Ovis aries: one gene and its partners. The protein of the gene in region 1 binds, or shares a complex with, the protein of each later gene. Links are inferred from orthologs where the notes say so. Each region holds a gene or a part of one and is shown on either strand. Other genes may lie near its edges.

Evidence for each region.
Region 2: RBX1 (region 1) and KLHL22 share a complex: the UniProt entries of both Homo sapiens proteins name them as parts of the BCR(KLHL22) E3 ubiquitin ligase complex. The link is inferred for Ovis aries from reciprocal best matches to the Homo sapiens genes RBX1 and KLHL22.
Region 3: RBX1 (region 1) and CUL3 share a complex: the UniProt entries of both Homo sapiens proteins name them as parts of the BCR(ARMC5) E3 ubiquitin ligase complex. The link is inferred for Ovis aries from reciprocal best matches to the Homo sapiens genes RBX1 and CUL3.
Region 4: RBX1 (region 1) and DYRK2 share a complex: the UniProt entries of both Homo sapiens proteins name them as parts of the E3 ligase complex. The link is inferred for Ovis aries from reciprocal best matches to the Homo sapiens genes RBX1 and DYRK2.

The regions. Positions count from the first base shown.
Region 1 is NC_056056.1:217,991,022-217,998,784, forward strand, and holds the end of RBX1 (E3 ubiquitin-protein ligase RBX1), read left to right. Parts: intron 1-2,121; coding exon 2,122-2,207; intron 2,208-2,847; coding exon 2,848-2,911; 3' UTR 2,912-2,921; intron 2,922-4,191; coding exon of another isoform or gene 4,192-4,254; 3' UTR 4,255-5,243; downstream 5,244-7,763. UniProt on the Homo sapiens protein: E3 ubiquitin ligase component of multiple cullin-RING-based E3 ubiquitin-protein ligase (CRLs) complexes which mediate the ubiquitination and subsequent proteasomal degradation of target proteins, including proteins involved in cell cycle progression, signal transduction, transcription and transcription-coupled nucleotide excision repair.
Region 2 is NC_056070.1:72,508,844-72,516,909, forward strand, and holds the start of KLHL22 (kelch-like protein 22), read left to right. Parts: upstream 1-3,220; 5' UTR 3,221-3,280; intron 3,281-4,354; 5' UTR 4,355-4,423; coding exon 4,424-4,444; intron 4,445-6,702; exon of another isoform or gene 6,703-6,813; coding exon of another isoform or gene 6,814-7,005; exon of another isoform or gene 7,006-7,107; intron 7,108-8,066. Other genes in the region: cytochrome c oxidase subunit 7C, mitochondrial-like, read right to left, coding at 6,814-7,005. UniProt on the Homo sapiens protein: Substrate-specific adapter of a BCR (BTB-CUL3-RBX1) E3 ubiquitin ligase complex required for chromosome alignment and localization of PLK1 at kinetochores.
Region 3 is NC_056055.1:226,742,244-226,750,321, reverse strand, and holds the start of CUL3 (cullin-3), read left to right. Parts: upstream 1-2,818; 5' UTR 2,819-3,104; coding exon 3,105-3,170; intron 3,171-8,078. UniProt on the Homo sapiens protein: Core component of multiple cullin-RING-based BCR (BTB-CUL3-RBX1) E3 ubiquitin-protein ligase complexes which mediate the ubiquitination and subsequent proteasomal degradation of target proteins.
Region 4 is NC_056056.1:152,287,787-152,295,357, reverse strand, and holds part of DYRK2 (dual specificity tyrosine-phosphorylation-regulated kinase 2), read left to right. Parts: intron 1-4,051; coding exon 4,052-5,653; 3' UTR 5,654-7,571. UniProt on the Homo sapiens protein: Serine/threonine-protein kinase involved in the regulation of the mitotic cell cycle, cell proliferation, apoptosis, organization of the cytoskeleton and neurite outgrowth. Functions in part via its role in ubiquitin-dependent proteasomal protein degradation.

The DNA of each region.
Region 1 (7,763 bases):
TGGCAGTCTCACAGTAGCCCCACAGTCAAGGGACTGTGCCATCTTCGAGGATAAAGAATAAAGCATATTGGGCTCTTGGCTCTCCGTGGCATCCAGGTGTAGAGTGAGAACCATGTCACTTTGTGGTGGAAGGAAAAGGAGTGCGCTGCTCCTTAAATTTGACTCAGGAGAGTCACACTCGAGAGACCTGCCACCAGGAAGAGCAGCAGGTGTGCCTGAAGCCTTTGGACTAGTCCTGGGCTCCCGTATTGGGGACTGGCTCTGTGAATTAGGCACGTCACTTAACTCATCTGGGCTTCAGTTTCCCGTCTGTAAAATGAAGATGATAATACCCGTCATGCTTGGCGGGGTTGCTGCAGGCTCCAGTGAGGTAATAGGTGTTTATAGCCCTCCTGTCAAGTGTTAAAGCACTAGGCAGTGCGTTTTGAGACTGCTGGGTATGTCCATTGATAGGTCTTAGATTGTTCGCAGGAGGAAAGCTGGGATCGAGGATGTTCAGGGATGCTGTCCCGGCCCAGCAGCCTCATTTGCAGCCCCTCTTTCCCTCCGTCTTCAGGGTGGGGCGCAAGTACAAGGACCCTGAACTGCGGCAAAGAGCCTAGTGGGGCAGCTGGGAGGGAGAAGGGGCTCCTGAATGCCCTTAGGTGAGCCTGTCCCCGCTGCCTGGGGATTGAAAAAAATGCCTCCACTTTCTGCCCTTTGGAAATTTTGTTTTTCCTCTTTTTCACCGTAAGTTGGGTGAGCATCAGGACTAAAAGGATCTTGCAGAGGGCCGTCGCCCTGGGAGTCTTTGTCCCTCCGAGTAGCCCCAGTGCACTGGTGTGGACTCTAGACTTCATCACCGCATTCTGTGTCTGTCTGTGGAAAGTCGGTTTCACAGATGATAATCCACATTATGATTCTCTAAGTTCCATGCATGTTTGGGTAGACACACTGACCAGGTCTCGGGGCTGTAAGCCAGGCCTGCCCAAACTTTCATTGTGTATTGGGGTGTCAGCACTTCTCCCTAGGCCTCACCTCAGCCGACCCGTCGTGGCTCAGATGCGGGGACCCTTGCTGCTCCATCCTGATGCTGCTCACACGAGCAGGGCTGAAGGATAAGCATCATTGCAGAACTGCATCTGCACGTCACTAACACACACAGACTGCTTTTCCCCAAATGCGAAGGCCAGCTCCTCATTCCCTGTTAGCACCAGTGTTCTTGGTACTTTTGCCCTTTTACTTCCCATCTTGATCATGGAACTAGCCCTTTGATGTTCTTCCAGCTGCTTGCATGCAGCGTGCCCATCACATTGCTTCCTCTTACCCTGATTTTTTTTATCTGATTCCTTTTTTAAGACCCTGGAGAAGGAAATGGCAACCCACTCCAGTGTTCTTGCCTGGAGAGTCCCATGGACAGAGGAGCCTAGTGGGCTACAGTCCACAGGGTCGCAAAGAGTTGGACACGACTGAGTGACTTTGTTTCACTTCACTTTTTTAAGACAAAATCTCTCACCGACTACTAGAGGCTTGTTGAGTACCAAGCTTTCATACTAGCAATGCCTCTATGAGCAAATCTGCAAATACAGTCCTTTGGGCAGTGTTGAGCTGGGTGTGGAAGGTTGGGGACGTGCCTGTCGCAGTTCTGGGTGGTTGGTGGGAGTGATGCACCGCCACGTGCTAAGGAAAACCCTCTCCTCCTGGGGTTGCCTTCTCCAAGACGGGGAGGGATCTGGAGACCAAGAGTGGGGAATTTGAAATGTGTGGATGATTGAGGGCCTCCTTTTGCCTGTGTGTGAGGAAAGCAAGCCTCCCTTCCAGGCCGACTAGACCCAGGAAGCCCCACTGCATCTTACCTTAGGCAAAGGGGAAGAGACCTCATTGCGTGAACACCCGCCATGCTTCCTAAACATGTTCTTCATTTGGTAGGAACAAAGCCTCTCACAAATGTTTCATGGGCCGCGGCCTGGCACCTAGCCGGGTGTGACCCCTTGTAGACCTTTTGTCTCCCATTGTGTGCTGCCTTCCATGGTTCTTCTCCAGCCGCTGTGTATCACCACCCTGCTCCCCTTGAGATATATTGTCCGTAGACGGCTGAGCCTGCACAGAATTATTTTTAATAAAATGTATCTTTTCTTCCAGCATGCTTTCCACTTCCACTGCATCTCTCGCTGGCTCAAAACACGGCAGGTGTGTCCGTTGGACAACAGAGAGTGGGAATTCCAAAAGTAGGTGTCCCCGGCTGTTTCGACATCGTATGTAAGGTTGGGCTTTGTGGTCAGTACTGTTCTTGGACCCACGTCAAGCTGGAGGGTGCACAGTTTTAGAAGATGAAGACATAGAACATGGCTGGTTCATAAAGTAGCTTTCGGTTAGTTAGATGAGGACGCGTCTCTGTGGAAAGTGTATAAGGTGAACCAGCATTAGAAACTTGCAGCCTGGAGTTTCCCAGCCATCTAGGTAGGGTCTTTGGAAGTAGTAGTAGAAGCTTGCAAATTCTCATTTTGCAAGCTATTAAATATTTCCACAATCACATCAAGAATAAGGCTCCAGGGGCTAACTAATGTCATCTGTCTTTGCTTTGGGCTAGAATTATATCATGTTTCATTGGTTTATCTCACAGGGATTAATTCTGATACAGCATCTGTGGCTATCTCAACTAAATCATTATTGTTGCTGCTGTTAATTGTAGTAGCGTGTAAGTAATACACGGCGTGCAAATTTTCAAAACTTCAAATGATCAGTCTGTACTAGTAATTCCTAAAAGAGGAATTTCTGGTTTAAGAGTATGTATGTTTTTATTTTTGATAGTGTCAGATTTTTTTCCTTTCCCAAGAGTATGTACTAATTCACAGCCCCTACCAACAGTGAAGCAGAAGACTTCCTCCTCCATTTCTTGCCAGTGCTTTGTTATCAGACGTTTTCATCTTAGCTACTGACAGGTGAAAATTAGTTTTCAATTGTATTTTTTAAAACTTTGAGTAAAGTTGGGCTGCTTTTCATATGTTTTTATGCCTGTTGTATTTGTCTGTGAAATGCTTTTTTATCTGTTGAATTTTCAGTTAATTTATCAAATTTTTAATGGAAAGGGGGATTTTCGAAGTTCTCAAGAGACCTTTGTAATTGACTGTGCCGTGGAGCAGGCTCAGGGTGCCATCTTGGATCAAAACTGTCTCACGTAGCCCATACACGTGCCCAGGGCTGAGCCTAAGAAGTGGGGGGGTGACGAATCCTCCTGCTAGGCTTTGACACTGTCGCTTTATCCAGCTGGTGACTTTGCCTGGCTGTGGTTATGAGCGCCCTGGGAAAACAAATTCATAAGAAGCAAATTTCATTTCAGCATGCTTTAAACTGATGGATAACTTCTAGGTTATTCTCACTAACAAGCTGGAGCTCTACCCTGTGAGGACTTTTTTAGGGAATTTTTAAGCGAATTTCTTATAAGGAGTACTTAAAGAATCTAGCAGCCCTTCAGGATGATGGCAACAGTGATGCAGAATTCTGGTGCCCTGGTCTCCATCTGTGTAGCAAAGTATTTTCATTAGAGGCGAACTACCCACTAAGAACCATGGCCAAAGATTAAGATAATAATGGATTCTGTGTTCAAGAAATCTTACATGTGGAAAAAATGTCCTACCATTGGTTATAATCTTTCTGGAGCCAAGTTTTGGCCTCTGAGGAAATCAGAAAGGACCTGAGATCCATAGCTAGTTTCTCGACAGTTCTTTCGGTGGTGCTCAGCAGACTCAGGGCTGTAATTGGAACTGGTGATAGATTTTGACACTGAAGGCTGTTCGGTTACTATCCTCTGTAGGGGTCTTACCCTAAACTAGCCCAAGTATGGGAGTTGAGGGGAAGAGGCGGCCCACAGGGAAGAGGGCGGAGGATTCAAGCTGTCTTAGCTGCATACTGGCCATCAAGTGCAGCTCCCTTTCACAGCCATTAGCCGTGACTCCTCCCTGTCACTGCCCAGTATCTGCCTGGCACCAGGAAAGAGTCAGGTGGGTGCAGTTGAGTGGGGGACCATCACTATGAAGAGGGTGGTAGGGACAATGTTACAGGAGGCCGGTAGGCTGAAAGGGGCAGAGACAAGGGTTGAAACCCAATCTTCAAAGTTTTAACCAGATTGGTGGATATATTTTTAGCAGGTGTTACAGTCTCAAACAGGGAATCACGATAAGGAATGAATTAATAATTTACTTTGTCTTCCAGGTATGGGCACTAGAAAAAGAATTCTTCCATCAAGCTCAACTGTTTTTGTTATCCACTGAATGACTTGCCCTCCTGTTACTTATTATAAATTAGATAGAACTGTGTCTCTTCTGCTTTGTCTTTTCAGTTTGCTATTCTGGCAGCCATACTGTATTCTGTGTCAAATAAAATCCAGTTGGATTCTAGAACAGACGCTGTCTTTTGTGTATGTGCAAAAAGTGAACACAAGTAAAGGGCCTCCCGCCCCTTTCTAGGGTGGAAGGCTAGGTTTTGAAAGTGAGGTGTTTGTTCATCAGAGCCAAAGCAGGATCGTCCTGTGAGCACGTCGCTTGGTCTCAAGGAAGCCTGGTCCACAGCCTGGCTGCTGCTGATGATCTTGGGCGAGTGGTCTGTCTGCTCCGAGCTCTTCCTCCTCCGTGAAGTGGCTGCTAAGGACTAAACAGGATCATGTGGGCACAGAAAGAGGCCTTATAAACTGTGAGAACGCTGTACAGGTGTTAACTTTGTGTATGACATGTTGCTTTCTCATTTTAGTTTAGAAAAGTTAACTTGAAAAAAAATTAATATGTCATCTTGGCTGGCGATGGAGTAATCTGTGAACTCAAATTGGAAAACAGTGTCATTTAGAGTTAACGGGAGAATTCAGGTTTCCCTTCCTCACCACCACCCTTTGTAATTTGTTTAAGATGCCTTGGCTGTGGACAGAACTGCCAGTTCTAACACTACTTCAGTCTCTTAGTCTTTAACTGAGAGGCGGGTTAATTTACTGCAGTGATTCTCAAAGTGTGTGCTGAGGACTTGCGGGAGTAATGGAAACACTTTCAGGAGGTTCACGAAGTTCCTTTTCCGGCTGCGTGTCTGTACAAGGCCAATTTTTCTTTTTTTCCTTCAGACAAAGCAACGTATTGAATGAAAAAAGAGAGCAGCAAATCCAGCTGTCTTCTGCTAAGTCAGATATAAAAGAGATTTGCAAAAATGTAAAACAGTGCCACTCTTCTAACTTTTGTTTTGAAAACTAGTTACTTTGAATAAAAATATTTATGTTAACGTGATGGGTTTTTGTTCTTTTAAAATCTTTTAAATTTCTCAGTTTGATTTCCATTGTGGTAAATATCTGTGGATGCAACCCCCATAAAAACTCTTTGGTTTCTTCAGTGTGTAAGATCATAAGGGGATCCTGAGACTCAAAAGTTTGAGAACCTCTAGCTTAGTAATAAGAACTTTGAGGTCCAACCTGGGTGGAACCCAGCTTCCCCACTTGGCCGCCAGCAGTGCAGTCGCTCAGGGCCAGGTGGCTGCTGCCGTCGATGTTCCTTCCACCCTCGGCAGAAATCACCTCCTTTAAACCCCTTTCAGGTGGTCATTCACACTGCAGGAACACTTAAGCGATGCAGAAGAATGGTTTTCACACAGCTGGCGTCACATATTTGCAGAGTTCTGCCTGGGTGTTCATAAAGACCCTTGGTTGCAGAGCAGCCGACTCCAGCTTCTGCTTAGGTCATGGAACGTTTGTGAGGGCTAGGGGGCTGTGTCCTCTGAAAGGAGTAAGGGACACAGAAGGGGCTGGACCTAAGAATGAATGACTAGAACCAGGGCATCCCTGCTGGGATTCTGTCGCTCTTTCACAAAGACTAGCTTCTCTTTTGCTGGCTACGCTTATGGCTTGTGGGATCTGGAGTCCCTAACCAGGGATCAGACCTTCACCTGATGAATGGCGGTGCAACTCCCAATTCCTGAAGCCGCAGGCATTCAGAGGCATCTGAATCTAAGTAGTCATTAAGCTCCATTCACCCGCTGCCCTCTCACTGCAACCTGTGCCCTCTTCTCCGTTCCCGTCGCCACTGACAGAGCACAGGCTGTCTTCAGTTTCCTCTAAAACAATTGCAGTTCTCCAACTGTTAACATTAGTCTCCTTGCTACAACCTGAAACAAATCTTTAATTTGACTGATGCCCCTTCCACTAGCTGGGAAATCTCTACGTTGATGGACAGAGCTCACTTCCCATCATAGACGAGCGTGCCTCATCCTGGCTCCTCCGGCTTCCAAGCAGCTGGAGAGGCAGGGTACCCCCACCTCCATCAGAGACACTCGGCCTGCCATCCTCTGTGGCTATGGGCAGCAGCACTGACCCAAGGCCCAGTGCAGACAGCCGAATGGGTTGTGGCAGCCGGTGTTTAATAGCCTAAATAGCCAGCACCTTCCGAGACCAGTTCTGTGGCATCATTTTGGCCGTGGTCCCAGTGGCTGCCCATTTTCTGAGCCTGATTCTCCAACATGGCCTATGCTGCGGTGAGCTCTCCAACATCATTTCTTACGTATCCAGTCTGCTGCAACGATAGCCCAGGCCTTTGGTTCTCAGCTGTCATCATTAATCCCCTCCTGCCCCTGCCAGGTACGTCTACACTGTTTTCTTATTCATTCTCAGAACATTTCCTAAAAAGCCCATCATTTTATGAAAATGTCATCTGACATTTTTTATTCACCTCTTCAGCCAACAGAACATTCTTCTAAAAGAGTCCTTTGCCTGTGTTTTCTCTCCTCGGTTTTTGTCCCCTATTTGATCAGTTTCTTTTTTCGGGGCACTGCTTGGCATGTGGGATCTTAGTTCCCTGACCAGGAATCGAACGCCTTTCCCTGAAGCAAGGAGTCATTAACCATTAGACCACCAGGGAAGTCCCTCTAGTGATATTTTTTCCTTCAATGCCTTTTATTTTCTTCCTGCTTGGACCAATTTTTCAGCCCACTGTTGAAACACCTTTTGAGGGCCTCTTGTCCCCACTGAGCCCACTGCCCTGCCCTCTTACTTGGGCCTTCACCCCTTGACATACAGAGCCTCACATGACCTGTAACCTCAAAGCACATCCCCATCTCTGTTCCTCTCTTTCCAGCCTGGCATGAGCTCCTCTGACCTCATCCCAGTGCCATGCGGAAGCTTCAGCTGGATTTGCTTGAACCCCCTGTCCTTCCAGGAATATCTCCTGCCCAATCCAGTCCACCTCCCTCCTCCCTTGTCTCGGTGCTGAGTTACCTGAAAGGCTAACCCTCCCCAAAACTCCTCTAAACAGGGTCAGGACCCCTGCCTCCCTTTAGGGCCTCCAGCATCGTGGTGTTTTTCCTCCGAACTTTTTGAAATCTCCCGCAAAGTGAGGCCATATTTCTAGCTAAACCCAGGCTATGATGAGGTCTGAAACAGCGTGGTGTCTTTCACCAAAGTGTCCCCTTTCTTCTACTTTCTTCAGAGCAACCTCAGAGTAGCAATTTTTCAAACTAATTGTTTCTACATTTTGCGTTCTGAGACATGAAACTAACCATTACACAAAAGTAGAGCCTATCATCCTATACTTAGCAGAGAATGGAACTATTTTCAGATGCCTTGATAATTATTCTATGTTCTGCCAAACAAACTCCTCCTGGAAGTAACAGCCTCTATCTTGCTCAGAGACACTGATATCCAGACAAACAGTCTAGAAACATTAAACTCATCTTTAATGCCACCTCAACCCTCATCCCAAATATCCATGTGGATACTGTGTCCTATTATACTTCAGTTTTGCATCTCTCAAATCCACTTT
Region 2 (8,066 bases), on another chromosome or scaffold:
AGGCGCCCCATCCTAAGTCGCTTCAGGCGTATCCGGCTCTTTGTGACCCCGTGGACTGCAGCCCCCAGGCTCCTCCGTCCACGGGATTCTCCAGGCAAGAGCGCTGGAGTGGGCTGCCAGGTCCTTCTGCAGGGGGCTTCCCCACCCACAGCTCTTCTGCAGTAGGAGGAGGATTCTTTCCCACCAGCACCACCTGGGAAGACCAGCCAGAGGCTCCCCACCTGTCTGCAATGCCACGACCTTGTCTGAACCTTGATGCCAATAAATTTCAACCTTCAGCGAGAAAGGACACGTAGAGAACAGTTGGGAAATGGGGTTACTTGGCTATTTGGTGAAGTTGAGACGTTATTGTTGGGAATTCCCTGGCGGCCCGTCGGTTGGGACTTGGTGCCTTCGCTGCTGGGGCCTGGGCTGTATCCTTGGTCACTTGGTTTAAGGAAAAAAAAAAAAAAAGTCATTGCTACATCACAGCCTCTAAATTACCTGCTTCAGGTCAGGTACCTAACCGGTTTATTTATGGACACGTGTTGCCAGAGAAGGGAGTGTGAGTGGATGGTCATGTCCCAGAAGTCAGGTGGGTCCCTGGGACCAGCTGCCAAGTGAGGAGCCTCGGCCTCACGCAGGCAAGAATCCAGGAGTGAGCCACAGGAGGGAGAAAGCGAGTTTACGTACAAACGGGCTCCACGGACAGGACGCGTCCCCCTCAGAAAGTGAGGCGGCCCTGGGTTGCGGGGTGTTTCGTTTTCACAGTTTGGGTGACAAACGTAAACAGCATATTGAAAAGCAGAGACGTCTCCTTGCTGGTCCGTCCAGTCAAGGCTGTGGTGTTTCCTGTGGTCATGTGTGGATGTGAGAGTTGGACCATAAAGAAGGCTGAGCCCAGAAGAATTGATGCTTTTGAACCGCGGCGTTGGAGAGGACTCTTGAGAGTCCCTTGGACAGCAAGGAGATCCAACCAGTCCATCTTAAAGGAAATCAACCCTGAACAGTCTCGGAAGGACTGATGCTGAAGCTGAAGCTCCAATACTTTGGCCACCTGATGCAAAGAGCTGAGTCACTGGAAAAGACCCTGATGCTGGGAAGGACTGAAGGCGGGAAGGGAAGGGGACGACAGAGGACGAGATGGCTGGATGGCATCACCCACTCAATGGACTTGAGTTTGAGCAAGCTCCAGGAAATGACGGAGGACGGGGAAGCCTGGCGTGCTGAGTGGCAAAGAGTTGGACACAGTCTAGCGATGGAACTCCACCGCCCGATTTCGGTGGCTGAGTGGGAGCGTCATTTCAGCTCGTCTGGGGAAGGGGTTCAGCTCAGTTCAGCTCAGTCGCTCAGCTGTGTCCGATTCTTCGCCACCCCATGGACTGTGGCACACTAGGCCTCCTTGGTGAGAGGGTAGGGATTTCCAGGAGTTAGGCTACTGTCTACCTTCTGGCCTTTTATGATTGACCTGGGGACTGTCCTGGCCTCAGCGGCTGTGTCAGTTAGCTAATGGATTGTAACAAGCGTGCAATGAGACCCAAGGTCCACTGGAAGTCACATCTTTTGCCGCTTGGGCCTGCTAGGTTCTAACCAGTTAATGTCACATCCTTGAAGGCTGCATCATCTTGTCATGGTTTTTCCCTGCCCCCTTCCCTCCTGTCTCACTTCCGCTTTGGTTCTGCTTTCTCACAACTCGATATGCCTGCCGCAGTGAATACCCTCCATACACTGTCTTGCTTTCATCTGGGGTATTCCTCGGATACCCAGAACTGGCAGTGCTGCTCTGCGGAGAGCCACTGTGCATTTATTTAAATGTGGATAGCCAATACCAATAGTTCTAGGTATCAGTTATGTACCGCCATGTAACAAATTACGCCGCAGCCAAGTAGCTGAAAATGGCAACAATAAACATCCATTGTCTGCCATCCTTCCTGCTGCTGCTGCTGCTAAGTCACTTCAGTCGTGTCCGACTCCGTGTGATCCCATAGACGGCAGCCCCCCAGGCTCCTCCGCCCGTGGGATTTTCCAGGCAGGAGCACTGGAGTGGGGTGCCGTTGCCTTCTCCTATGGGCCAGGAATTCAGGAGCGGTTGAGCTGGGTTCTGGCTCAGTCTTTTTCTTTTCTTGTTTCTTTCTCTCTCTCTCGTTTCTTACATTTGGCTGTGCTGGGTCTTGGTTGCGGCATGCAAGGTCTAGTCCTCTGACCAGGGATCGAACCTAAGCTCTCTGAGCTGGAGCTCAGAGAGCCACTGGACCAGAGGGAAGCCCCTGGCTCAGCGTCTCGTGAGGTTCCAGACAGCTCAGAAGGCCTGGCTGGGCTGGAGGGTCTGATTGCCAGACAGCTGGCTCCTGGCAGGCAAGTGGGGGCCAGTTTTGACAGAGGTCTGGGGTCCACACAGGCCTCCCCGCACGGCTGCCTGAGTGTCTTTACGACGGGGTCAGGGGCGAGAGCTTACGGAGCGCAGACAGAGGCAGACGCAAGGCTTGAGGCCTTTCACAAACACACCCTTCCCTATGCCTCATTCTGTCCCTTAGAACCAGCCATGAAGTCCAGGCCACGCACAAGGACAGGAAGAAAAACTGGGATTCACCCCTTGGTGGGAGGAGAGTCAAAGATCTTCCAGGCTTTTTTTTTTTTTTTGAAGCGAATTAAAATCTATTTATCTGGCTGCCTCGGGTCCTAGCTGTGGGGCGCTGGGTCTTCGCTGGTGCATGGGAGAGCTCAGTTCTCCACTCAGCGGCATCACCTACCCGGGGAAGTGGACTGCTGGTCACTGGGCCTCCAGGGAAGTGCCTGCAGGCGTGTTTGTAAACCTCTCTAACTGGCGCATCTGGCACCTGCCCTGTTCCTGACTGCCTAGCCCAGCCTGGATAAAGCTCTTTGCCTGATCGGTTCTGGGAGTACACTCAGCCTTGATACCTGATCAAGTTCCTCATTCCCCACCCTGGATAATCCCGTTAGGCCAGGGCAGCAAGAATGCCCCTACCCTTGACATCTCACATGAGTGATCTTGCATCCAGCAGCCCCTCATTCTGGCCCTAGCTGTCTTTGCGGTACTCAGAGGAGAACCGGAGCCCTCCCCCGCTGAGAGAGCCCCGAGGACGGCAGTAGGCTTCCTGAGCAGTCTTTCTTACTGTTTCGACAGGTGTCAGAATAGTGTTTTCTTTACCAGCGTGGGAAAGCGAGGTGTAACATTTGCATTTCCTGAGTATTACTGCCCTTGAGCTCACTTCCTTTGTTCATACCGGCGGGGACTTCCTCTTCTGTGAGCTTCCGGTAAAGACCCTTTATCGTTTTTCAGGTTGGTTCACTTTCTAATTATTAACTTTTAAAAGTTCTTCTTAAAAAAAAAAAAAAAAAAGCCCCTGGAGTGGTTAAGGGTCCACCTGCAACATAGGCGGATCCTTGGTCCGGGAAGATCCCACGTGCAGGGGGGCAACTGCGCCCACGTGCCACCGCTGCTAGAGCCTGTGTCCCCTAGGGGACAGCAGCAGGAGCTGCAGGAGCAGGGAGAAGGCCCCGCGCAGGACGGCGGCCCCGGCTCGCGCACCTGGAGAAAAGCCTGTGCAGCCAGCGAGACCTCACTGGGAGAGGAACTCCTGACGCCTTCTGAACGGTTATCGTCAGTGACGGGACGAACGCGTTCACTGATGAACGGCGTCACTCGGGGGTTTGTTGTTTTACTCTCACTGACGCACGTATTTAAAAGTCTCTATTTATTTATTTGGTCCGCTCTTCGTTGTGGCACATGGGCTGGTCCCCCTCGGAGCATCGGCTTCCCTGACTGCAGGGCGCCGGGACTTCGTTGCCCTGCGGCATGTGGGGTCTTGTTAATAGTCAGGGATGAAGATGGCGCCCTCTGCATTGGAAGCCAGGCTTCGGAACCACTGGACCTCCAGGGAATTCTCTGGTTTGTGTCCTCTTTTGAGTGTTAACTGCTCACATTCATTTCCACTTATTTAATGGACTCAATATCATCTGTGATTGTTTTGCACTTAAGAAATTTCATTTTTGGCTGTGTCATGCAGCTTGTGGGGCTGTTAATTCCCTGAGCAGTGAAATCGCCACATCCTGACCTCTGGGCCTCCAGGGGATTCCCTGGATGAATTTTTTCACAGACTCTTTGCCGCTTGCTGCCAATGTCTTCGCCAGTCTCGACTGATTTTTGCTTGCTCAGGATGGCTGTGATCAAACTGCTCTGCAGACAGACACGGGTGCTGCTCTCCTTTAAGGCCCTTCCCGCTGGGCGGAGACGTCAGACCTCCCGTTCTCCACTCCCGCCTGCTGCCTAGTATCTCTGCTTCGGACCTCTCTCTGCTTCACCTCCCTCCTCTTGTTCTTACTCTCCTAAGCGCCAGCCCTGTTCTCCATGCAGAAGCACAGCCACGGCGGAGCAGCCAGAGCTGGGACCCTCGGGGAACAGAGGCTTTGCTCGGAAGCTGACATGTCCCTGGGAGGACACCAGGTGCTCTTGCCCGTCCCTCCCTGAGGCCTCCCCCGCCCTGCCCCTCCTCTGCTGCGGACGTTCCCGTGGCAGGGACCATTGACTTGAGCCGGCTGTATTTTGAGATAAGGGTCCCTCCAGCTCCCCACAGTCCCCGGCCAGCGCCCCCGTCTTGCTCCGGGCCTCCTGTCCTCCCCACCCGCCGGCTCCTCTCTCCTGCCCTGGAGGTGTCCTCCTCCAGTCTCCCTCTTCATCTGAAGAAGCATCAGAGGCCTGTCCCCCTCTTCCACACTCAGTCACTGCAGGCTGGCTGCTGCCACCCTCAGGAGAGGACTCTCTCCCAGCCCCATTGGACCTCTGCGGTCACCCCTTCCCTGCCCTTCTGGGTGCCCTTGGAAAAAGTGTGCTCTGCACTCGGCTCACCTTCCTTTCCCCATCCCTGTTCTGGCTCAGTGTATGACCTCCAGAAGCTCATGACACCCCCAGGTAGGCCCTCAGCTGGACATCTGCGGCCTCCTCACCGTCCTGGGTCCCTGGAGGGCGTTGTCTTTCCCTAAACCCACTCCAGCTCGGCTGTCCCCGACCATGACTTGGGCTGACCCTTCCTCACGCATCACTCCCCTCTACAGGTACTGGGGAACCTGCCTCCTCCCCAGGTCTCCAGCCAACACTGCCCTTCGAACTTGCTTCTTTCCCCGCTGACAGCGACTGCTTCCCTTCTGCCCCTCCAGGCCAGTCTCTGCACCATGAGCTGGCATCTGCCTGCCCAGGCTGACCCAGGCTGGAGGGCTGGGTCTGGTCTCCAAGTTTCCTTTCATGCTTAGAAATTCCTGGCGGCTGGCTGACCGCTCGCTAGACTGGATCTGTGGACACAGTCTTCAAACTGGAATGCTGTCTCTGCTCCCCACAAAGTCCTCATCTGGTGCACAGCTGTGTGGCCACCACCTCCCAGAAGTCCTTCTGGATGGCCTCTCCCACTGAGAACGTCGGCTCCTGGGCGGGCGCGGTCTACTCATCTCGTTAGGTGCCTCACGCAGCGGGGTGCGCGGCCAGGACAGTGTATCTCCACTTATTTTCTCCCTCATCCACGGTTGCCCGCCTCCCCCCCCACCCTGGCCCCGATCTTTTCAAGCTTGAGCTATCCTAGCTCTGTCCTCCCCTCAGAGCTCTCCATCCTCCAGACACGGCCTTCGCGCTTGAGCCTCGCAGGATGGGGTCCTCTGCAGGGCGGAGGAGAAAAATGAACACGGGAGCCTCTGGTTGGAGTGCAGGGACCCAGCTGCAGGCTGGCAAGCAGATTTACTCTCAGTTCACTTCAGTCGCTCAGTCATGTCCAACTCTTTGCAGCCGCATGGACTGCAACATGCCAGGCCTCCCTGTCCATCACCAAATCCCAGAGCTTGCTCAAACTCATGTCCATTGAGTCGCTGATGCCATCCAACCATCTCATCCTCTGCGGTCCCCTTCTCTTCCCGCCTTCAATCCTTCCCAGCATCAGGGTCTTTTCCAGTGAGTCACTTCTTCGCATCAGGTGGCCAAAGTATTGGAGCTTCAGCTTCAGCATCAGTCCTTCCAATGAACACCCAGGACTGATTTCCTTTAAGATGGACTGGTTTGATCTCCTCGCAGTCCAAGAGACTCTCAAGAGTCTTCTCCAACACCACAGTTCAAAAGCAGCAATTCTTTGGTGATTAGCTTTCTTTATAGTCCCAACTCTCACATCCATACATGACCACTGGAAAAACCACAGCTTTGACTAGACGGACCTTTGTTGGCAAAGTAATGTCTCTGCTTTTTAATATGCTATCTAGGTTGGTCATAACTTTCCTTCCAAGGAGTAAGTGTCTTTCAATTTCATGGCTGCAATCACCATCTACAGTGATTTTGGAGCCCCAAAAATAGAGTCAGCCACTGTTTCCACTGTTTCCCCATCTATTTGCCATGAAGTGATGGGACCAGATGCCATGATCTTCATTTTCTGAGTGTTGAGTTTTAAGCCAACTTTTTCGCTCTCCTCTTTCAATTTCATCAAGAAGTTCTTAAGTTCCTCTTCACTTTCTGCCATAAGGGTGGGGTCATCTGCATATCTGAGGTTATTGAGATTTCTCCCCGCAATCTTGATTCCAGCTTGGGCTTCATCCAGCCCAGCGTTTCTCATGATGTACTCTGCATATAAGTTAAATAAGCAGGGTGACAATATACAGCCTTGACGTACTCCTTTTCTATTTAGAACCAGTCTGTTGTTCCATGTCCAGTTCTTTTTTTTTTTTTTTTAAGGATTTATGCCATAAGTTTATTTACAAACATATTTAGGATGCTGAGTTCAAGGGACTGAACCTTTTAAGAGACTGCACCTCTTAATATGCTCCTCTTCCTATCTTTCTCATGGATTACTTTTTAAGCAGTTGGTATCTTACTATAAAGAAAGGTGCAGCAAATCCAGACCCAAAGAACAAAGTCATCATAGCTAGTAACCTCCACTTGTTTTCCACTGAAAATGGTATATTCTTCCCTGGACCCTCCTCACAGTGGCTCCGACGAATCACAGAGGTTGTGAACCTCAGGATGCTCTGTCCCAACATAGCGCTGTTGGACGCTCTACAAAAGATCCAGAGACCGGAGGCGGAAGAAACGGCGGCTGCAAACCTACCGCTTCTTGCCTCACGACCTTGCTCCTCTAACTCTCCATGTCCAGTTCTAACTGTTGCTTCCTGACCTGCATACAGATTTCTCGGGAGGCAGGTCAGGTAGTCTGGTATTCCCATCTCTTTCAGGATTTTCCACAGTTTATTGTGATGCACACAGTCAAAGGCTTTGGCATAGTCAATAAAGCAGAAGTAGATGTTTTTCTGGAAGTCTCTTGCTTTTTTAATGATCCAGTGGATGTTGGCAATTTGATCCCTGGTTTCTCTGCCTTCTCTAAATCTAGCTTGAACATCTGGAAATTCACGGTTCTCGTACTGTTGAAGTCTGGCTTGAAGAATTTTGAGCATTAATTTGCTAGCGTGTGAAATGAGTGCAATTGTGTGGTAGTTTGAGCGTTCTTTGGCATTCCCCTTCTTTGGGATTGGAATGAAAACTGACCTTTTCCAGGCCTGTGGCCACTGCTGAGTTTTCCAAATTTGCTGGCGTATTGAGTGCAGCACTTTCACAGCACCGTCTTTCAGGATTTGAAACAGCTCCACTGGAATTCCATCACCTCCACTAGCTTTGTTCGTAGTGATGCTTTCTAAGGCCCCCTTGACTTCACATTCCAGGATGTCTGGCTCTAAGTGAATGATCACATTATAGTGATTATCTGGGTCGTGAAGATCTTTTTTGTATAGTTTTTCTGTGTATTCTTGCCACCTCTTCTTAATATCTTCTGCTTCTGTTAGGTCCCTGCCATTTCTGTCCTTTATTGAGCCCATCTCTGCATGAAATGTTCCCTTGGTATCTCTAATTTTCTTGAAGAGATCTCTAGTCTTTCCCATTCTGTTGTTTTCCTCTATTTCTTTGCATTGATCACTGAGGAAGGCTTTCTCATTTCTCCCTGCTAGTCTTTGAAACTCTGCATTGAGTATATATTTCTTTTCTCTTTCGCTTTTCATGTCTCTGCTTTTTATAGCTATTTGTAAGGCTTCTTCAGACAACCATTTTGGCT
Region 3 (8,078 bases), on another chromosome or scaffold:
ATTATACGTTTCACAATTACATGGATATATGCTTTAATGCAGGGGGGGTTTCCTAAATGCTGGCTTTTAGTGTGGCGTTCACGCTGGTGTTTTCTCAGGTTCACACTGAAAGAAGAAAAATCACCTCAATGAATTGTTCTAAAGAACAAACTTCATTCACAAACTGACCTTCCTCCATTTCTGTGGTTAAAATACTTTAAAAAGCAAAATAAAATAATGAAGCTAGTCTATACTCCCGGTTATTTATTTTCTTTTAATGCTCTTTTGTTGTTGCTGTTTTACTGGCTAAGTCGTGCACAACTCTTTTGTGACATGATGGATTGTAGCCCGCCAGGCTCCTCTGTCCTTGGGATTTCCTGGGCAAGAATACTGAAGTGGGTTGCCACTTCCTTCTCTGGAGGATTTTCCCAGCCCATGGATAAAAGTGGCATCTCCTGTGATTCCTGCATTGGCAGGGGGATTTATTTTACCACTGAGCCACCTTGGAAGCCCTTTAATGCTCTTACTTGCCAAATACACTTGTCAACCCTACACTGGTTCTCTAGTGTTTTAAAAAACTACTTCATTGGTTTCTGAAATCCAAGTAAGGTTCATTTTGTAAAAACATACAGCATTCTTAAAGAAACCTACATATTGAATAAAGGAAGACAGTATAAGCTGGGCCTTAATTACCAAAGACAGTAGCAGCCAACAGGTTTTGAGTGACTACTCTGTGCTGAGCACTGCTTTCAGGGTTTTAAAAAATGTATTTATCATCTAAATTTGAGTAGCCCAAGGAAGAAACATTGTTTTTTATCTCCATTTCACAGATAAGGAACTCTAGACAAACAGCCTAGCCCTTGCCCCCAAAGACACAAAATACATCCAGTAAAAGAGTAGAAGGCCTTCCCAGATGGTTCAGTGCAAAAAGAATCCTACAGTGCAGGAGAAGTGGGTTTGATCCTGGGTCAGGAAGATCCCCTGGAGGAGGGCATGGCAACCTACTCCAGTATTTTCGCCTGGAGAATCCCTTGGACAGAGCAGTCTTCTTACATCACAAAGAAACTGAGCCATGTGACACTGCAACCAATACAAAAACATTGGTTGTTAATATAGTCTAACAATTATGGAAATGAAGGTTCAATCAGCACACAGGTTATAAACTCCTATCCAAGACTCATAGTAACTTACATTTAAATCAGAGTCCCTCCCATTGTTAGCTTATCAGCAAAATTCTTGACCTATTTTTAGCTTCAGTACTTACATAGATATTGCTTCAAGCAACATCCTTGTTTCTTAAGCTCTGTTTTATTAGCAAATACCAGAAAACAAAACAAGAAAATGTTTTCAGTAGGGCATTTCAACCAAGTAAGGGGTGAAAGCACAACACTGGTGAATCTAGTTATCAGGATTAAGTTAATTTAGGGAAAATCCAACCTTACAGTGAACAAATCAAAAAGGTATATTCCAGTTCATTTATCAAAAAATAGAAAATAAAACCCCCCAGCTTCCAAATATTTAAAAAGAATTAAACTTCAGCTTAAAAGAAGGCATTAAGAATAAAATTTAAAAGTATTAACATTCTATTAATATTCATTCCAACAATAGGTTCTTACTTAAAAATGATATCACAAACTTTAGTGGGAACTCACATATTCCTCTGCAGTCAGAAATCCAACTATAACAATACAAAGAGGTAAATTAGGGTGTAAAATTCATAATGAAAAGCAAAACTGATGAATCAAACTAGACTTTTTGAATGCAATGCCAAACTTTTATTCCCTCAAATTATCAGCAAACTGAAAAGAAAGACAAAAATTTTGGCTTTCAAAATGTATCATACTCTTAAAATGACTTGGCAGGTTAAGGTTAGGTTTCCATTATTCTATTTTCTATTTAACACCATTTACCAAAATATTGCACTGAGTTAAGGGAGTTGTTATTTCAAAGGCAACGAAACACAAATTTTAATACTAGTAAGTTCTAGGTCTCTCAGACAACAGTGAATCAGTTTAAGGAAATTTTACGGATTTCCACCCCTCAATCTTGACAGCTGGAGTGTGCACATCCAATCCGAATACCTTGTTAGGCATACAGGACTCTACTTTCTGACACTGCATATATTAATAACTCCTGCACAAACTCTTCTTTCAACTTTCTGGCTTCTGGTCAAGTACCCATCCCTAGTCCACCTGCCCTAGAAAAACACAGGAACCAGTTTCAGGACGTGGTTATCCACCTAGCACCCTACGCTCCACCCCGAGACTACCCTCCTCTCGCTCTAGCCCAGCCCAGCCAAGCGGAGCCGAGCACTGCCTGCTACAGTCCGGCTCCGGCTCTCGGAACTTCCCCTGCCCACTCCGTCCACGTGAACAAGACCCCGCCCCCTCGCCCGGCGCTCCACCAATCAGCAGCCCCCTCACCCAGGATCCGGTCTTCAACGCTCCTCTTTCAAAAAGTCAGCTCACTCCTCCCGCCTCAGTCCCGCCCCTTTCCTACCTCTCCGCCCCGCTGGCCCACCTTCCCAAATCCCCGTTCCCTTCCTCCTCTCCCGTTGCCCCCTCCCGCTCGCAGGCTTCGCCCCGCCCCACCCGGGAAAGCGCGCTCGCCCTCTTCTCGCGAGATTTGAGCGTCCCCCTCCTCCTGCCGCGGCCGCCCGCCTCCCCCTTCTGTCCTCCCCCCCTCCCCCCAATCTCTCCACTCTCCGGCTCTCCTCCCTCCCTCCTCCCCCCTCCACCCTCTGGGCCGGATCTCGTCTCGCTGAGGCGGAGGAGGAGAAGGAGGAGGAGGAGGACGTTCGGCCTGCGCAGTGAGATGTTTGTCCGTCGCCGCCGCCGCCGCCATCGCGGAGGAGCGCGATAAAGGGAGCCGAGCCGGGCGTGAGGGGGACCCCGCGGAGCCGCCGCGCCAGCGCAGTCCCCCAGCCGAGCCCGAGCCGCCGGAGACCGAGCCGCCGCTGCCCCCGCCGCGGCCGCCCAGGGGCCGGCCAGCTCCCCAGCCCAGCCCGGGGGCCGCGCCGCCGCCGCCGCCCCCAGCGTCGCCCCTCGCCTGCCCGCCCGCCTTAAATGTGACACCGGCGCCTCGGAGTGCGACCTGAAGCCGCCGCCGGGGAGGGGACGAGCACCATGTCGAATCTGAGCAAAGGCACGGGCAGCCGGAAGGACACCAAGATGCGGATCCGGGCCTTTCCGGTGAGTCTCTTCTCGGCGCCTGGGACCCCGGGTCGGGGGGCCCGGCCGACAGCCGCACGCGAGGCCCGGGCTGAACTCCCCCCCAACAGGCCGCAGGCCCGGCCTCCCATCCCCCACGCCGCCGGCCGCGGGGCGCGAGCCTTCCCGGCAACGGGGCGGCGCGGGGCCCCGGCGCGGCCACCCTCCGGGGCCGTTCCCCGCGCCCCCGGCATCCGAGGCCGGCGCCGCGCCCCCGCCCAGGAGCTGCGCCTCCGGTCGCCCCGCGGGCGTCGGCTGCGGCCGGGGCCCCTCGGCCGGTCCCGGCACCTCGCCGCGCTCCTGGGGTGTAGGCCCAACCCCTAGCACCCCGCTTCTGCTCGGTCCCCGGGACTCCCAGCCCTGCAGGGATGGGGATCGTCTACGTCCTCCTGGTGTGGGGCGTGTGTGTAACTTTTCACGTGAGGTTTCGCAGCAGTTGAAAAAAAATCACCATGCCTAAAGGATGGCCTGCTAAAAGATGCCGGGGACGGACCTCTCCCGATCTTCCCCTCCCCAGGAAGGGCTCTGCCGTCCACCTACCCTCTACGCGGTGACAGACGTTCCGCGTAATGCTCTGTAGTAATACACTAACAACGTCGGTGTGTTTACAGAATCTTTCATCCGCAACCTTCCAATGCACTTTACAAACTCTCCTGTGCAGGAATGGCCTAGCCACTCAAGGGGAAGTAAGACAAAACAAATGAGACGATTGGTTCTTCATTTCCTAGCCACGGAAGCCCAAAAGAATAAGTAGTCACCACCGTGAGTTGCTTTACTCTAGGTTTTAGTGACAGCAAAAGTATTTTTGTTTAGAAACTTTTTTGGCCTTAAATTAAGTCATACCCCTGCGGTGTTTAGTATTATATGGTATAACTTTGGATGTCGTATCTGAATCAGATAGCCAGTGGCAAGCAATTAGAGTGTACTCTTGGGACAGAGAAACTGGACATACTTGCTCATGTCGCTTCTGTAACAGGTAGACGTCAAGGTGGACAAACTAGCAATTGAATAGAAGATTTTAAACCAGGAAAACTATAGAGAAGAAGCTGTGGTTTCCTGTCTTAGAATCACAAGCACGTTATATTGAGTGGTGGGGGGCGGTGAAGAGGGTTTGTATTCACTTCTTAAAGCATGCTTTTTCTAAAGTACAGTTTGCACTTTAGAGGAAAAATTAATATAATTGTCCTAGTTGAGTAAGAAACCGACCTAGAGAACTTGAGGACCTCCCTGAATTCTTAAAATTTAGAAGGAAAAAATACACCTGATGCAGAATTCCCAGATGGTAATAAAAATGTTAATACCTATGTGAAGACTCTTCGGACTTTATGTAAATAAAGATAGGATATAATCAGGAGAATTAGATGTTTTAATGCACATTAAAGGGATTTTGAATTTCGGAAGTTTTTTCCCTAAGTAATCGTGAGAAAGTACAAAGAAAGTAACAAGTGTTGACAGAAGAGCACTAATGAAGTTCACTTGCACGTTTTTCTTTATAAACAGTGAACTGGGTTTATGAATTTGTGAGTAGTGATAGTTTTCCTACTGAATCAGTTCCTATTAAATAAGCAGAATCTAGAATTATTCAGAATTTCAAATAGTTTTATACATTTTTAAGAGAAGTTTGCTATTCTTGAAGTCTGACTTCTAATACAGATTATTGTTAAAAGGTGGAATAGCTCACATTTGACATCAACTCACTGTTGTGGATATTCTGATTAATCAGCTTTATCTTTATCTATGTGTAATCAACTCTTTGATCTCTTGGTTTGCCTGTCCCTACCTGTTTTTCCACTCCTTCATTCTTTTAGGAAATACTGAGGACTGTGTGCCAGGTACTGTTCTGGGGTCTTGGGATGTATCAGTATAGCTTCAGAGAACAATATCCCTCCTTTCTGGATCTTGTATTGTTGGGAAGAAGCTGTGGGAGAGAATTTTGTTCTTTTAGCTAAAGAGTATCAGAGTGTGTGACAGGTTACCACACAGCACTGAAGCTGACTTTTTTTTTCAGGCGCATTATGATAATGAACTAATTCAGACCTTTTCTTATCTGTAATTTGTTGCCCTCTTAAGTTTCTCTAAAATCCTTAAATGAAGTTTGCAAGTAGCTAGTGTTTGATATTCAGTACTTAGTATCTGCTAATTTTTAAAAATGTCTGAGAGTTTTAAATTTTCTCATGGGTATTAACATCACTCATGAGTAGTTCCTACAGTGAGAACCATTGCATTTTTTAAATATATAAATGTAAAAATCATAGTTCTTTGAACTTTCATTAAGGATGGCTACATAAAACCTCAGTGGTGTGATTTCAGTGATTTATTTGGTAAATGAATACTTAAGAGTTTCAGAATTTTTTTTCCTTCCAGGTTAGCAGTCATTTACCTAACTGTAGTCTGCATGGATTGCAAGTCAGAAGTAATAAATGCCTGTTATTCCATGAAGAAAATATTTTGTGTGTATTCATGTGTGCACACTTAAAACTACTGTATTTTACGATTTGAGATAAACAACTACTCTAAGGGAAATTGTAGTGTAAGCAGAGGCCTCAAATACTCCTTTCAGAGTGTTTTATAAAACTGATCTGTGAAAAAGTATAAAAATATGTTTGAAGATTGTTTTGTTATCTTTACAAAATAGTAAGTGATGGTACAGGATATTTTGTAAATGTGTAAACCTACCCCAGCTGTAGTCTCATCAGTAAAATCAGGTTCTGAGAAGTTGGTTCTTTTTAAGACAGAAAACAATGAAGAGCTTTTTGTATGTAACAGATTGATGATGGAGGAAATATTTTATTCCAGTTTGTAAACTTTGCTGCAGTGAACAAAATATATAGCATCTCACATCTTTTGGAGTTTTTTGGTACCCACAGTGACAGCAAGGGACACAAAACTTTTTTAAGAAAGGAAGCTGTAGTTGTGAAACTCCTGGAAACTGTGGCTTTGGACCAAAGAATGCTGTCCCAAGAAGTTCCTGCCCTTATCTCCTTGCTGTTGCCATGTGTCTCACTCCTGTGCTTCAGTTTCACTCTGTAGGATTAGTTGCTGTCAGGTGAACTTTTTGTTCTTACCTTTGTAATAGTCATTCCTCACCGCCTGTACTGTAGTTGGGTAGTTTGTCCGCATGGGCTTGAAAAGCTTGGTTGTATTGGAGGGGGGGATATGGTTGAATGGGAATACTGGTCTCCTCTGACTTGCCTTATTTGACTTAGACTTCAGAGTTTAGGAGACAAATTGTGAAAGTGATTTTCATTAGAACATTTTCTGAAAATGGTTTCACTTACTGGTTTATAGAAGCACCCCAGTCATGATAAGGAATCTCTGGCTGTGATGTGCATGCAATAATTCTAGATGAGCACCACCTGTGTGGCGTGGACAATTAGAGAAGCTATTGTTAAATGGAACCCACAGAATGACTGACACTCATTTGTTATGCTCTTAAATACTTAAGAGCACAAGGATTTAAGGACAAGAGGGAAAGTTAATGTTTTTGTTTCTCCTAGCTCTAGTGTTATTTGTTAGATTTAAGGGAACAGCTTTAATGTTCAAAATAGGTTTCTTTTATTTAGAGTAAGTAGCTAAGGCAATGGCAACTCACTCCAGTACTCTTGCCTGGCAAATCCCATGGATGGAGGAGCCTGGTGGGCTGCAGTCCATGGGGTCGCTAGGAGTCGGACACGACTGAGCGACTTCATTTTCACTTTTCACTTTTATGCACTGGAGAAGGAAATGGCAACCCACTCCAGTGTTCTTGCCAAGAGAATCCCAGGGACGGTGGAGCCTGGTGGGCTGCCGTCTCTGGGGTCGCACAGAGTCGGACACGACTGAAGTGACTTAGCAGCAGCAGCAGCAGCAGCTGTTGCCTAAACTACCTGGACTGTACATACAGAGAGATTGAAGAAGAGTTTTGCAAATCACACAGGGCGCGGAATTAACCTCTAAGCTTGGTTTGTTTTTTATTCTTTAGTATTTTCTTATAGGGATGTTATGGAGATATAGCATTCGTTAAAGTATTGCTTTCACTTAGACTGATTTTTTTTGTATTTAATGGTTTCAAGACAGCCAGCTGTGTTATAGTTAGTACCTCACAGCCTTCAGAAGCTTAAAAATGAAAAAGATACAGTAGTTATAAAGTGTCTATTTTGTATTGTCTTAGAAAGCAGTTCTGAGGAGCCAAGAAAATTATTACTACCAAATTATTAGTACTAAAGTTATTGAATTTGAAACAGTTTTAATAGTATAGAGTATAATGTGAGAATTTGACTTGTTAAATAATACAATAGTCACACGATAAGTTCATTCAAACGAAAAAGAGAAAGTTTCATTCATTAAATGTAGCTAGGTAATAATAGTGTTCTCTCTATTTCAACAAGATTATATAATTAAGGATAGAAAAAATAGTGTATCTTCCCATTGTGTTATACATTGGGAGACCTGAGATAATTTTTTGCTGTTATTCGGAAAAAAATTATCTGTTAATCTTAACAGCAAAAAATTTTGCTGTTAATCTTGGTGTTAGCAGTTTTGCTAGATTTTTATAAAAGTTATTGGACAGTTTGTAGCTTTAAATAATGGAACTTTATTAATAGTTCCTGTTTATCATTATAAAGTCAACAAAAAAAGGTGCTACTAGTAAGAAATCACTGAGCTAAAACATGAATTACAGTTAATGTCTATAAGTATATTGTGAAAATTATTCAGTTGTAGTCTAGCAAAGCTATGAATTCATTTTAGTAGCTTTTCTAGTTATAAAAGTGATGCATATTCATGATAGCTTAATAAGGATCTGAACATCTAAGTAAGGTAATAAATAATCACCTGTAACCCTGCCACTTGGAAGTAAGCCATATTAACATTTTGATGTGTTTCCTTATAATCTTTCATACATGTATAAGC
Region 4 (7,571 bases), about 66 Mb from region 1:
CCATCTCATCCTCTGTTGTCCCCTTCTCCTCCTGCCCTCAATCTTTCCCAGCATCAGGGTCTTTTCAAATGAGTCAGTTCTTCACATCAGGTGGCCAAATTATTGGAGTTTCAGCTTCAACATCAGTCCTTCCAATGAATATCCAGAACTGATCTCCTTTAGGATGGACTGGTTGGATCTCCTTGCAGTCCAAGGGACTCTCAAGAGTCTTCTCCAACACCACAGTTCAAAAGCATCAATTCTTCGGCGCTCAGCTTTCTTCACCATCCAACTCTCACATCCATACATGACCGCTGGAAAAACCATAGCCTTGACTAGACGGATCTTTGTTGACAAAGTAATGTCTCTGCTTACTCACTACTATACTAAGCACACTATGCCTTTTACCTTGTTTAACCCTCCTAACGCCCCTAATGAGGCAGCTTTGTTACCCTCTTTATACCGATAAGGGCCCTGAAGTTCAGAAAGATTAACTGCCCAAGGTCACATAGTGTGAAGTGGTGGAGCTTAGATTCATTTCCCTTGTGTCTAATTGAAAATCCCTGAACACCTAACCATTATGAAACATGACCTCACCGAAAAGAGAGGAATATAAAAGAGAGTGTGCTGTCTCCATGGGTCGTAGGGAATCCAGCTTATTATTCTAAGAGAGAGAGTGACAGTGGTAGGTGACACTGGAAAGACTCAGGTCATTTAGGCTCAGCATTTTAGAACCTCCTGTTCTTGCCTGTGAGTTCTTGAGTTCTTTGTGGAAATGGAGTGCCCACATGAACCTTAGGCAAAGTCAAGGGCAGTGTGAGTGACACTTTCAGTGGTAACTCCAGAAACATCATGGAGAGAAGAGGCAGTGAATTCTAGGCTTAGAAGCAAAAGGACACGTGAGGAGGCTGCTTCCGTTGTCCCAGTAAAAGATACAAGAACGCCAGGTGGGATAGCATGGCTAGAGTGGAGTGGGTCAGTTAGAAATGACAGTGGGGCTCCATGGTGACTTGGAAAGGTACAGGAGATATGGAGATGGACTGAGTGACTATTCGGGAGGGTGACTCAGTAGGTAAAGAATCTGCCTGCCAATGCAAGAGACCTAGATTTGATCCTCTGTGGGGAAGATACCCTGGAGAAGGAAATGGCCACCCGCTCCAGTATTCTTGCCTGAAAAATCCCATGGACGTTGAAGCCTGTTGAGCTACAGTCCATGGGGTCGCAAAGAGTTCGCCACAACTGAGCATAGCAGCACAGCCTTTTCTTGTTCAGAAACTCAGGGTTCTGGGAGGAAGAAGTGGTTTGAGTGGAAAAAGTGAGTTGAGTTTGAGTTGCCCGTGAGGAAGGCAGCTGATCTGTAGTTGGACACAGGTGAGTCTTGAGTTCAGGGGTCATGGATCGGGCTTGTCTAAGCTGGAGGTGTTCTGGGAGTAAAAAGACACGAGCAACTTGAGGCTTGAACCCTGGGGGAACCCTGGAACCCTCCTTGATTGCTGCTGTGGAGGAGACCAAGAGAAGGTAGTTGGTAGAGACCGAGGTCCTCCAATTAATTGGCAAACTCTAGTTCTAGTCACTCCAGCTTTTGTGATGGTATTTTAAATTATGCAGAACATTAAAATTGCTATTATGGAAATGGAAGTCGGTTTCTGAAGCTCAGAATGTTTTACTTTGCCCTCTTTTTATAACTTCCTATAGCTCCAAGGTTAATTTTGTCCCCAGTGAAGCCTCATGCTTTCGTACTGTGTATCCTGGTGATGCTGGTTTTTCTTCTGAAGTCTCTCTAGGCTGCCCTGAAGAGAGTGGTTCTCTAGGAGACATGTATTTCTAATTTCAGGTCCTTTGATTCCTGATACTTGAAAGACCACAGTGGGGAGGAGGAGAGGTACAGAGAGTGAGGCTTGGACAAAAAGCATTAGACAAGCCTGTACTACGTTTATATATACATCCAGGACTTCCCTAATTCATTTTTATGAACTGCTTTGCTTTTGGCAAAGAATGAGGATAAAATAACTTGTCTAGCTACACTGACAGAAGATAAGTTCATTTAGCATAGAATACCATCTGTGAGTTTAGTAGAAGGGTTCAGCTAGAAGTCTTGCAGAAATCTAAGAAGTAAAATCCCTCAGTCAATGAAATCACACTTCAGACAGGCCCAAGCACTGAACTGTATTCTCCTTTGTTTTAGAAGATTGCAGAGAAAGCACATGCCTCAGATAGTGCATCAGTTAAAGAAAATTTGAAGGTCTTGGACTCCTAGTAAGATGGACTTGGAATTTCATTTTGTAATCTGCTGCTAAGTCGCTTCAGTCGTGTCCGACTCTGCGACCCCATAGACGGCAGCCCACCAGGCTCCCCTGTCCCTGGGACTCTCCAGGCAAGAACACTGGAGTGGGTTGCCATTTCCTTCTCCAAAGCATAAAAGTGAAAAGTGAAGGTGAAGTCGCTCAGTCGTGTCCAACTGTTTGTGACCCCATGGACTGCAGCCTACCAGGCTCCTCCACTCTTGGGATTTTCCAGGCAAGAGTACTGGAGTGGGGTGCCATTGCCTTCTCCAATTCTGTAATCTATGTAGTCCCAAACCATTTCTTGAATTATGATATTACATAGAGCACTTCTATGCATTTAGTGATATGTAAAGCCCAAGAGATAGGGTTTAGGAGATGATGGGAAAAACTGAAAGTTGAGGACTTCAGCTCGTTGACTGTATACTCCTGAAGGGCTGTGTGGCTAGACCTCAGAGAACACTGAATGAATGAGATGGATTGCAAATAGCAAGTTGATCTTTAAGCTTTCATATAAAAAAAAAAATCACCTGCTGAGATGCTTTTAAGACTTGTGAGTTATTGTCTGAGGCTGGCAAGAATTCCTAACTGGGAGGGGATCCTGGCTGTTAGTTTTCTTCCATCCCTCACCTCTTGGCGATAATAACGCTTGAGAGAAATCCCAGGTAGATTCTCTGTAGGAAGGCTGGGGCCCCCTGGCTTATGCCATCACTTTTGTTCATACAAGAATGTTTAGGGATGGCTTGTGTTCCTGAAATAGAAATCACTACATTGTATTCCTTGTTGGAAAGCTGAGTATCCCAGCAGCGGGGAGAAATACATGTTTTGAGAGAGCCAAGCCATTGACCAAAGGAAGGCCCGAGTGTGGCGGTTGGATTGTTGAGCTGGATGGCCTTAAATGGTCATCACAGTCAGTACAGCCCAGAGACTTAAAATAGGTTTGGGGTTTACAAGATACTACGGTGCATATCTACATGGGAATCTTTTCCAGCCTAAAAGTACAGTTCTCTGCTTCTGGATCATGTACTTTCCTAGGTGTAATTAGTTTGATTTGCAAGTAGTGGAGAAGACCAAGAATGAAGACAGCAGTGCTCAGAATAGAGCTAAATGCCAGAGATGGAGTAGTGAACGAGACTGGCCTGGTCCCTACCCTCATGGTAATAAAGAAGCTACTAGTGAAGTGTGAAAAATGTTGTAATCCGGGGGCGGGAGAGCCAGTAGAGTGCCGACGTGTTCATGCGCTTTCTGTATCCTTTCATCTTGATGTCAAGTATGGGTTGAGTGGAATGTCTATGATACCACAGTGCCTTTGCTAAATATTAGGTAGAGAATGATGACCAAGAAACCTGATCTCTGCCTCCACTGAGAACTTACTCTAAGGACCCTGAAAACATGTACAGCAAACTCTTCGTTAGGTGCAGCAGTTCTGGAGTCCTTTCTTCTTTTCCAGATCCCTAGTTTCATAGCCATCCCCAGCCCCTCAGCCTCAGGGGCAGCAGTTCTGGAGTCCTTTCTTTTTTTCCGGATCCCTAGTTTCATAGCCATCCCCAGCCCCTCAGCCTCTTCTGCCTTTGTCTGAGGCTATCTGCGTCATGACGTCCACTCTCCCTGCGGCAGTGTCGGTGAGGTGTCTGCTGCGTGCACAGCTCTTTCCTTTGAAGAAACCTGATACAGACTGTACTTTCAAACCAGATTGGATTTCGTAAAGGTGGGGGTGGGAGCCAACTTATATAATAGCCCTTTTGAACAAACCGCTTCTGTTCCATTGATGTTCCCTCTCTGAATTCCAGATTGGCGGCAGTAAGCACACAATGAATGACCACCTACACGTCAGCAGCCACGGACAGATCCAGGTTCAGCAGCTGTTTGAGGATAACAGTAACAAGCGGACAGTGCTCACGACACAACCAAATGGGCTTACCACGGTGGGCAAAACGGGGTTGCCCGTGGTGCCGGAGCGGCAGCTGGAGAGCATCCACAGACGGCAGGGGAGTTCCACCTCTCTGAAGTCTCTGGAAGGCATGGGGAAGGTGAAAGCCACACCCATGACGCCTGAGCAAGCAATGAAGCAATACATGCAAAAACTAACCAGCTTTGAACACCATGAGATTTTCAGCTACCCTGAAATATATTTCTTGGGTCCAAATGCAAAGAAGCGCCAGGGCATGACAGGCGGGCCCAACAACGGTGGCTACGATGACGACCAGGGATCCTACGTGCAGGTGCCCCACGATCACGTGGCTTACAGGTACGAGGTCCTCAAGGTCATTGGGAAGGGGAGCTTTGGGCAGGTGGTCAAGGCCTATGACCACAAAGTCCACCAGCACGTGGCCCTGAAGATGGTGCGGAACGAGAAGCGCTTCCACCGGCAGGCGGCCGAGGAGATCCGCATCCTGGAGCATCTGCGCAAGCAGGACAAGGACAACACCATGAACGTCATCCACATGCTGGAGAACTTCACCTTCCGCAACCACATCTGCATGACGTTCGAGCTGCTCAGCATGAACCTCTATGAGCTCATCAAGAAGAACAAGTTCCAGGGCTTTAGTCTGCCTCTGGTTCGCAAGTTCGCCCACTCCATCCTGCAGTGCCTGGACGCTTTGCACAAAAACAGGATAATTCACTGTGACTTGAAGCCTGAGAACATTTTGTTGAAGCAGCAGGGTAGAAGCGGGATTAAAGTGATTGATTTTGGCTCCAGTTGTTACGAGCACCAGCGGGTCTACACATACATCCAATCCCGTTTCTACCGGGCCCCGGAAGTGATCCTCGGCGCCAGGTATGGCATGCCCATCGACATGTGGAGCCTGGGCTGCATCCTCGCAGAGCTCCTGACTGGTTACCCTCTCTTGCCTGGGGAGGATGAAGGGGACCAGCTGGCCTGTATGATTGAACTGCTGGGCATGCCCTCCCAGAAACTGCTGGATGCATCCAAACGAGCCAAAAATTTTGTGAGCTCCAAGGGTTATCCCCGTTACTGCACTGTCACGACTCTCTCAGATGGCTCTGTGGTTCTCAATGGTGGCCGCTCCCGGAGAGGGAAACTGAGGGGCCCACCAGAGAGCAGAGAGTGGGGGAATGCACTGAAGGGGTGTGACGATCCCCTCTTCCTTGACTTCTTAAAACAGTGTTTAGAATGGGATCCTGCAGTTCGCATGACCCCTGGCCAGGCTTTGCGGCACCCCTGGCTGAGGAGGCGGCTGCCAAAGCCTCCGACGGGGGAGAAGACGTCTGTGAAGAGGATCACCGAGAGCACTGGTGCTATCACATCCATTTCCAAGTTACCTCCACCTTCCAGCTCAGCTTCCAAACTGAGGACTAATCTGGCACAGATGACAGATGCCAATGGGAATATTCAGCAGAGGACAGTATTGCCAAAACTGGTTAGCTGAGCTGAGCCCCCCGATGCTGGTAATTCTGAAAGATACGACATTGCTGAGCCTTATTGGGTTGAAAAAGAGTAGCTCAGACCTGTTTTTATTTGCTTAATAACTCGACTCATTTGTATCTTTTCGGCACTTGTTTTAATGTAAGAAAGTTGTTTGTTTTGTTTTATAAAATACATGGGGACAATGCTTTAAGTTTTTATACTTTCTGAAACTGTTTTTGTGTTCTAAAAGTACGATGAGCCTTACTGTAATTAGTGTGGCAGAGTAATAAACATCAGTGGCAGGCCATTGATCACGTCATGACTGCCGCGCATCTACAGATTGGTGTCAGAGACATTCACTATGTCTTCATGGTTCCTAGTGTATTCTCCCCAAGGTGATTGCCTCTGAAGGCCGCCCCCCACCCCAAGCCCTTCTCTCTCCACACTCCAGGTTCACGCACAGGTGCAGCATGTCCTTCGTTCTCCATCAGTTAGCTGGGTGGTAGTCATGGTGGGAGGAGGATGGTCAGGACGAAAATGGTATTGTAAGAAAAACTGCACCTTAGAGGTTTTTTTCCCTGAGATAGTGCTCAGAGACAAAATCCCCACAGTTGCAATGCCCAGTTAGCATTTTGACGTTCTAAAGGCTGGCCAAGCAGACCTGGTGGATGAATGGAAACACGTGTATCCCTCCAAATTCTCCAATGTGATCAGCGAGCTGTTTTGCAAAGAAGTCTGGTTTAACAGAATTTGGTTTTGTGCCTAAAATTAGAAATGTATTCCATGAACTAACTGTTCTTCCCTTCTCTTTGCTTTTCTCCCCGCTGTTCCTCTTTCACCACACATCTGTTGCTTGCATCTAATTTCTTTTCCTTCCTTCAAATACATATCCCAGACTGTTAATACAGAAAAGAGACATTTTTAGCTGTGATTATGACCATCTTTTTCATATTCCAATTTAAAAAAGAACAGCCTAGCTACTTAAGGTGGGGATTTCCGTAGTTCCAAAGACAGTTTAGCAGTCTCGAGTGCGTTCACACTTCAGGTGCCACAGTAAGGTTCTTTTAGCCTGGGAAAACATCACCTCTTTAAAAAGAAAGAGGGTTGAAAATCCTCTTCATCAACAGACGTCAATTGTCCTTGTCCAGCAAGGCCAATTTTAACAAATTCTAAGGAGGAAAAGTTCAGCCTCAAGTTAAATGGTTTGACTTACTCTATGCATCATTAGAAGAACCGTAGACATTGCATTCTTCTGTTTTATTTTACTTTTGTTTGGATTGCACTTGATTGTTTTTGTGGGAATGACACTTTACCTGGAAAAGTGACTCTTGAGAGTTAGGTAAAAGAATATTTTCTCCTCTGAATAATAATTATTTTCACAGTGAAAATTTCAGTATTTTATCACTAATGTATGAGCAGTGATACATATCAATTTCAAGGCACGTGGAAAAAAATTTAGTTATGTGCAATTTAATATAGAAAGATTTCTGCCTGTTTGGACAATAGGTTTGGATAGTATAAAATAGGATAAATACTCTTTTATATGCACAGATATTATTGTATGAATTGCCTGTAAATTGATTTACAAGTACTTAAAGCATGGTCCCCAGTGAGGCCAAGAAAGTTTCCGGTTAAGTTCTTTTAATATTAATCCTACAGTTTCTCTTGCTTTAAAAAAGAAAAAGAGTAGTTTTGAACAAAACACTTTACTTATCTTGAGGCTTTGTCAGTTGATGGTGGAGAAAAATGCTCAGGAAATATTACAGATATTTGCCAAAAAGTCAGTAATAAGGTTAGCTTATTAATAAGGTAGTGGTGTTGATATTTGCTTTACTATTTAAGGGTGTCACTGATAAGTTAATTTATACTTCTGTATTTAGAAATTCTTTTCCCTAGTCAAATTCTTTAGCCTCTTGTACACATTTCTGTGTAATCTGTGG